2 linked regions of the Mus musculus genome follow. The protein of the gene in region 1 interacts with the protein of each later gene in a biochemical or structural test. Links are inferred from orthologs where the notes say so. Each region holds a gene or a part of one and is shown on either strand. Other genes may lie near its edges.

Region 1 (4,443 bases):
CACTGCGTGTGCATTGAGAACTCGGTGGAAAGCTTGACATACAGGCAGCCCTGTATGGAGAGCATCAGCAAGGGGATTCTAGGACAGCTGCGGACGGGCTGATGGCCATCCAGCACTGGCCAGACGCAACAGTTGGCCCCTGTCACAGTAACAGCACATGTGGAAGCTGCCCATCTGGCAGAGGAAGACTACTCCACCCTGACCCTTGTGTGCAGATGACATGGCCTTCCCAAGGATAGGTCATATCTTCATCCCTGGGGAGAGCCAGAGGGTGGCCTGTCTTCAGACATTTCCTGGGACTCTCCCTCAGAGCCAAGACGAGAGTGAGGTCGTGGAGCACGAGCCTGGGTTATGTTTTACAGAACATCATGAAGTACGGTGCCCTAGAGAAGTAATATTTAATGTGATGTGTTTAAAAACAAAATCAATACAAAAAATCTGCAATGAACAAATATCCCATTTCAAATAAAAAAAGGACCCATTATTGATTTTTCAGTTTGCCCCAGGTTATGGAAACATTATTGAGTCTGTTTAAAATTTGGACATATTTGTTCATAAGAGATTTTTTTTAATGCACTGAAATAGTACTAATCTTCATTACTGTGGTTTCTTTAGTGCTCAGTTGAATTTTATGCCCTGGCCAGTGGGCTCTGGCATCCCCAGCCGTGTTGGGATCACCTCAGGGGTCTGAAAATTTTGTCTGTTCTAGTGCAGCTCTTTGGCTGTTTACTCACCTCACTAAGGGCACAAGGACACTGCAGCATCTCTAGAAGCATTTTTTTTTTTTTTTTGGTTTTTCGAGACAGGGTTTCTCTGTATAGCCCTGGCTGTCCTGGAACTCAGTTTGTAGATCAGGCTGGCCTCGAACTCAGAAATCCACCTGCCTCTGCCTCCCGAGTGCTGGGATTAAAGGCGTGCGCCACCACGCCCGGCTCTAGAAGCATTCTTAAGGCCTCTTGACCCTGAAGGTCCAAGACTCCCATGATCCTTTGCCTCACTTTGTGCACAGGCATAGGGGAAATTTCTAAAAGTGTTAAGAGATTCCCTGGGAGAGGGAGAAGCAAGGGAGCAAGACTTTCCCCACTCGTCCCTAGATGACCCCAGCTAGATCTGCAAAGTACTTAAAACTTGGCTAGTCCTTCCACTATTCTCCCCAAGCCAGAGTCAAAACACAGGCCTACCAGATAGGCCTTTGACCCAGATGGATAATAGTTGGATTCAGGAGGAGAGGCACGCAGGGGCTGCATGGTCCTTGTTAAGCCACCACTGGAAGGCCTTTGATAAGAAACAAACAGGGTCCGCACCAGCAATTCACCAGTGGCCAAAATGTCGAGCCAAGGCGCTCGTGGATTGTACTCACCGCGACCATTCTGGTTGGGTCGGTACACACTACCCACGCTGAGACGGCCCTGCTGGGCGCCGTTCCGCTCCCCACCCTGGGAGGGCGCATCAGAGCTTCGCACGGGCAAGTAAGGTGGCTCCAGCACGCGGAATGGGGGCTGTGGCTCCACCGCACGCGGAGGGACGTAGGCCTCCGGTGGCACATTGGCTGCATAGGGCGGGTACCAGCCGAGGCGAGGATCGCCAGCGCCACCGTAGGTGCCACCGGCCCCCGCGGGGGCCTGCGACACGTCGGTGCTGGGATCAGGGTAGGCCTGCTCGAATCCCGGGGTGCCTTCATTGTACAGGCTGTGCGAGTAACGACGGTCAAGGCCGTCGGAAGGTTGGGGCTGAGGCTGCGGCTGGGGCTGGGGCTGGGGTTGGGGCTGGGGCACATAGGGCCTCTCTGGGGCTGGGTAAAAGCCCTGGGCCGGGTACTCGGGCTGCTCCTCGCCTCCTCCACCTCCGTAGTCCTCGTAACGCGCCCGGGGCTGGAAGGGATAGATGACCCCAGCCGAGGCTACAGCCGCTGCCCCCGCGCCCATGCCGCCGCCCGCACCACGGTAGTACACGTAGCCCTGTTCGTAGGTCCGTGACGCGGGATCGTAGTTCTCATACTGGTTTACGAAGGGCGCCTGCGGATAGGGGAACTGCTGCGGGTAGGAGGATGGCTGGCGATAGGTGGTGGCGAAGGCCGAGGCCGAAACCGAGGAGGAGGCGGAGCCCCCGTGCCGTTGCTGGGAGACGGAGGTGCGGGCCCGAGCCATGCCGGTACTGTCCCCGACGGCCACCTCTCTCCAGTTGTCGGGCACCTGGCCGAAGCCGAACGGGTGCCGCGTTTGGCCGCGCACAGTGTCCGAACCCACGCGTCCGGGCAGGGGCAGGGACGGCGCCTGCCGACGCCGGGGTCCCCCCTGACTGCGCCGCTGCGACGTTTGGGGCGCGCCTGCCAGTAGAACCCTGGAGCTAGTCTCCCCTCGTTGGGGCCCCGCGGGCACGTACTCAGAGCCCGAGTTGAGCAAGCTGTACACCTGCCCGTTGTTCTCCCACTGGATCAGCTGCCGCCAGCGTCCTGGGTCCGAGCCCTGTCCTGGCTGCGCTTGCTGCCCGTGCACCAGGACGCACAGGCAGGCACTCCACACCAGGGTCCTCAGCTGGCTGCCGGCTCCGGCCAGAGCCATAGTGGCCCTTCTGCAGAGGCCGGGTGGGCAGAGAGTGGGCCTCGGTGCGTGCTTCTCTTCCCACGGCCTCGAGGACAGGATGGCTCTTCGCCTGCCCAAGCTCTAGCTTTGTCCATCCTGGCCTTGTCCCGAGCGGGACGGCTCCTCCGATGACAGCATTTCGAGGCCAAGGGGTCAGGGCAGGGCAGGGGCGGTGCCCAGGGCTGCACGAGGCTTTCCGTAGGGCACGGGACGGGCAGGACCTCCTGGGGCCCTTACATGGCCAGCCCCACACTGGCTGGCTGCTCGCTAGGCTGGCGCTTTCCCACTCTGAATGAATAAGCAACAGGCTGAAAGTGTCTGGAGGTTTCAGAAACCTGGTCCGCCTGCTGGGGCCTCCTCCGCGGGGCCCTACGGCCCGCCGGGTTTTAGCTATGTGGCCTGTCCCACAGATCAGTGCTCCCTTAGTCCTGTAGCTTCCAGCCAAGCCACAGACCTGCCTGGGAGGAAGGGAATGAGGTAGGGCGGAGGAGGGGGCCCCTGGGGACTCAGGCCTGGTAAGTGGGGTTTCTGGCAAACATAGCAGGATTAAGATGTGGGCACTACCCTGCTGGTTCCACTCAGTCCTGGACACAGGTTTTTTTTTTTTTTAATTCCACTTTCTTCGTTGACTTCACCTCTTCCTAGGGTTCTTGGGGTGCCTTCTCCCTTCTCCAAAGCTAGTGCTAAGAGACATCCTGGTTGGTGAGACTCCCTGGGGAGATGCCCACCTCTGGCTGGGGCCACCCTGTAATTCTGCATCCTGAAGACATTGGGCGTTTGGTCCTGAGTACAAAGACACTGAACCTTCAGCTCTTCTACCAGGTCTCAGTCTACAGGCTTGGGAACTAGGATAGGTATGTCTCTCTGCTGAAGGGGACTTGGGAGCTCAGGGCAGATGCTGACATCACGTACCCCCCACCCCCTCCAGTGGCTTCTGCCCTGTGCTTCCTGAGTTGATAGCCAGAAATAATCGGAGTCTAAACATGAATAAGAAGAACCCAGCCGGTGGCAGCCTTGGATATGAGATATGCCATTGTGAGGCAAGGGGAACCTTTAACATAAAGCAGAGAGAGGGAGGCCTTGGGAGAGCCGTGGCCTGGGAATCGCATGCTCCTTCCCAACTCTGAGTTAGTGGACACATTGATCACTGGGGGATTATTCCACAGAACTCCATCTGTTCTGGCCGATTCTCTGTTCCCTCCGGGGATGTCAGGGCTAAGAAGAAAGGTAAATTTTAACTTTTACTTGGTACCTAAGAGGTTACCCTCTAAATGCTGTTCTCCAGGCTTCCCCTAGGCTGTCTTCTGTTTGGCCTTGGGAGCTGGAGGGCAAAGATTACCCCCTGAGACTTATAAACAAGACAGGAAGGATCTGTCCTCAATGCTGGATGACTCTGTTTTGTAAACTCCTGGGCCCCGTTTAAGGAGGAAACAGCCAGAATGATGCTCTTTGGGAACCAGGACCCCTCTGCCCTCCATCCTTACCAGGAAGCATCTATCAACCCACCAAACTGTGGGTTTCAGGACTGATACTTCACATATGTGTCTTGGGACACTGGATATCTTCCCCCCCCCCCCCCCCGAGACAGGGTTTCTCTGTAGCCCTGGCTGTCCTGGAACTCACTTTGTAGACCAGGCTGGCCTTGAACTCAGAAATCCACCTGCCTCTGCCTCCCAAGTGCTAGGATTAAAGGCATGCGCCACCACACCTGGCTGACACTAGATATCTTAATCTAGCCAGAAAATTGGGGGCTTGCAATAGCACTCTTGCCCGTGATATCGTAGATCCAGTGTAATGTCTGGATTCCTACAATAGTGACTGATTAGGCTGAAGACTAGCAAGTCTTGGTTCAATTGAAGCC
Region 2 (3,808 bases), on another chromosome or scaffold:
TTACATACAAGCCATAGCATCACATTTTCCATTAGAGCAGAGGTTGGTTTAAATGCACAGGAACTATCGTATTCCCGGAGGCCCATGTGCTCTTCTGTGCCTGCCTGGAAAGGAGAAGCAGGCCAAGATCAGGCAGCTTATCGTGCCTCAAGGACTCTTCAGATAGTCCACAAAGTAAATTCAGCCTCAATCCAGAGACCTGGAAGAACGGTTTCTGGTTTTGGTTTTGGTTTTGGTTTTGGTTGTTTGTTTGTTTGTTTGTTTGTTTCCACTTATGTATATATTCTATACTGTTGTTTGATTCTAACTTTAAGCCAACTTGGCTAAATGAAAATTCAGAGGATAAGAAAAAAAAAATATCCCTAGCCAATGACAACTGCAAGGGATAAAACTGTCAACTAGTGATGAGTGACACCTTTGGAGAGAACACAGCTGTGGGTGGGCAGAGTGGAGTGGCAGGTGTCAGAGCTAGAAAGGATGACACTGGCATTCTTCATCTAACTTTGAGCTGTGAAACATTCCTGTAACTAAGCAAAAGGATTCCCTTGGCTTAGGACTATGTGTAACCAGGGTAGAATAACCCTCACTTGTACCACTTCCTGGCTTAGCTATAAGCTTCCTGAAGATTTCAGCAACTTTTTGCCAAATCCCTTAAAATGTAATTTCAAAAAAACATATGGAATGCTAGTGATGATGAAAACTTATTTTAATGGATGGTCACACGTGTAAGGTCATCTCATAGCTCTCTATACGTGCCCAAAGAAAAACGTACCTGGACCTCCTTACAGTTCCCACATTGTACTGTATCCATGACAACCATCAACTCCCCAGAATTTCTCTCAGAGCCTTGAGGAGCTCTTTCTTACCTAGGCACTGCCCTTCCAGAAGCCAGTACCCATCGGTGCAGGAGCAGGTGTAACCTCCTTCAGTGTTGATACAGATCTGGGTAGGGTTGCACTGGTGTGAGTCTGTTGCACACTCGTCCACATCTGTAACACAAAAATGATTCCAGAGAATGCCTCCCATGTCTAAGAACCCTGGAGCCACCAGAAGTGCAAGCTGTGCCTGAGTCTCAGCTGGGAGGCTGCTGATAAAATCACTGGGTCACACCAAGAGCAGAGTATTTTCCTGATAGGCACTTCTGAGACACACTGGCCTCTAGAGTGGCTTTTGCTCAAAGAACTACACATAGGGGAGGAAACACAGCCGTTTGCACTATTCCTCAGCCTTTATCCTTCTTGACCTTTGTCAACCTTCTCTGGACATGCAGTACACCGACGACTCCTTCTTTCAATCTGGGTCTCTCCTGCCTACCCTTCCTCTTTCAAGATGGCAGCTGGATTTGCTCATTGACAGCTTCTCTCCACCTCTGCCAAAATGGACCAGCAGCAAGTCAGAAAAGTACCATTGAAAGCTGCCATTCAAATGGGAACAAAACACCCATGGAAGGAGTTACAGAGACAAAATTTGGAGCTGTGACGAAAGGATGGACCATCTAATGATTGACATATGCAGGGATCCATCCCATAATCAGCTTCCAAATGCTGACACCATTGCATACACTAGCAAGATTTTGCTGAAAGGACCCAGATATAGCTCTCTCTTGTGAGACTATGCCGGGGCCTAGCAAACACAGAAGTGGATGATCACAGTCAGCTATTGGATGGGTCACACGGTCCCCAATGGAGGAGCTAGAGAAATTACCCAAGAAGCTAAAGGGAACTGCAACCCTATAGGTGGAACAACAATATGAACTAACCAGTACCCGGGAGCTCTTGTCTTTAGCTGCATATGTATCAAAAAATGGCCTAGTGGGCCATCACTGCAAAGAGAGGCCCATTGGACTTGCAAACTTTATATGCCCCAGTACAAGGGAACGCCAGGGCCAAAAAGGGGGAGTGGGTGGGTAGGGTATTGGGGGGTGGGTATGGGGGACCTTTGGGATAGCATTGAAAATGTAAATGAGGAAAATACCTAATAAAAAAATAAAAATAAATAAAAAAAAGAAAGCTGCCATTCACTGTGTGGTTTGCTGAACCCCACATTTATCCTCACAGGACTCCGTGAGCCCACTTTGCAGCTGGGCAAATGGAGCTGAGGAAACGGTAAACACAGAGGTACAAGCTCAGCCCATGCCTCCTCCTCTTGCCTGACTCAAGTCTCCTATGTGTGGAGATAACAGAGGACACAGCTGGGACCAAGCAGATGCAGGCGGGGCTACCCAAGGGAAGCGAGCTATTACTGACTTCTCTACAACCCACTTTGCATATCTGCCTGTTGATGCTACAAATTGCAGACTCTCTCCCCATCCACTCAAAAGGTATCTGTGGGCTGAGGACACAGTATACCTGCCTGATGTGCCTGAGGTCCTGAATTCAACCACAGATAACATGTTTGCATGTGTGGAGTGGAGCTAGGAGGCTCCAGGACCCTAAAGTGTGAGCTCCTTGAGACGAGCTTTTACATCAATTAGCACTCGTTTTATCGTGCTGTGTGCTCAGGAAGCCAGCATAGCTGAACGTACTATTCAACCAGGTAAGCAGCAGTATCCTCAGGTTAAGTGACAACCCACTATCCACAACAAGCCAACACTAAGAAAACTGATGAATCCCTGATAGACTCCAAAGTAACAAGGTGACTGGTTTCCATGGGGAGCCAGTCGTCACTGCTCTGGACATGAATCTCCCCAAGAGTCTTGGTTCGAGGCAGAAGCACCTTCATTCCACCCTGACAAACTCCTGCCCCTGCTCTTTGCCTCCCCCTTCTACCTCAGCTCAGCCCATACAGCCCAGCCTCCCTGGGGAACCAGGAAGTAATGCTTGGCCAGTGGCCACTCCTGTCCCAACCTACTTCCAAGCTTATGACAATAAATAACGCCACCATCAGCCAGGACATATTTACATTTTCCCAGCAGAGAGTGATGGATGGAGGTTATACCCTGGGAACAACTTTGGGAGTCTCTGTTCTTGTCTCTGACCTGAGGAGAATGGTGAGTGAATGTGACCAGGAGGAGGTGAGGAGGAGCTATTGGAAAGCCATGGTGACAAGTACCCAAGCCTCTGCCTTTGTGTGACATGTAACATAAACAACATGCCTACAGAAAAGTCCTGCAGAAACCAAGCACAGCACACTCGTCTCAGGAGGACACATAGGACTTCAACATGGGTTTATTGCACACACACACACATACAGCATTCAAGCCTGGAAACAAAACCTTTCAAGTTTGTCTTTTTTCAAAACTCTACTGCTTTTTACCATACTAAAGACTGTACTCTGTTATTTTATATATAGATATATAATTGAAAATGTAGGGCCAACAAGATGGGTCAGTTAATAAAAGAAAGAAAGGCACCTGCCATCCCTAACAACCTGAATTCAATTCCTGGAATTGATATGATGGACAGAGAGAACTGACTCACACAGTTTGTACTCTGAGCTCCATGCCATAGCATGACTACCTATACATACATACATACACACACACACACACACACACACACACACACACACACACACACAAGTGCATATGCACATATACAGACACATGCATACACATGTAAACACACACATACATGCCTGCATGAACTTAAACACACACATTTAATTAATGAATTTAAATTTTTAGATTTAATTTTCACTTAATTCAATTAACTTTTACTATATATTTTAAATGGACTTGTCTACATAATATCTGTTTTGAGAACCCAGTGGATCCATAGATCCCTGGAACATGAGGACTGTTAAATCCCAGCCAGGCTTCCTCAGCCAACTAACTGACAGGATTTTGGAATGTGGAATTTTAAAGTGG

What was found.
Region 2: the proteins of Loxl1 (region 1) and Fbln5 form a complex in vitro, tested with the Homo sapiens proteins (2 studies listed by BioGRID and IntAct). The link is inferred for Mus musculus from reciprocal best matches to the Homo sapiens genes LOXL1 and FBLN5.

What each region holds. Positions count from the first base shown.
Region 1 is NC_000075.6:58,310,326-58,314,768, forward strand, and holds the start of Loxl1 (lysyl oxidase homolog 1 preproprotein), read right to left. Parts: upstream 2,888-4,443; 5' UTR 2,562-2,887; coding exon 1,361-2,561; intron 1-1,360. UniProt on the Homo sapiens protein: Catalyzes the oxidative deamination of lysine and hydroxylysine residues in collagen and elastin, resulting in the formation of covalent cross-linkages, and the stabilization of collagen and elastin fibers.
Region 2 is NC_000078.6:101,770,379-101,774,186, forward strand, and holds part of Fbln5 (fibulin-5 isoform 2 precursor), read right to left. Parts: intron 990-3,808; coding exon 867-989; intron 1-866. UniProt on the Homo sapiens protein: Essential for elastic fiber formation, is involved in the assembly of continuous elastin (ELN) polymer and promotes the interaction of microfibrils and ELN. Stabilizes and organizes elastic fibers in the skin, lung and vasculature.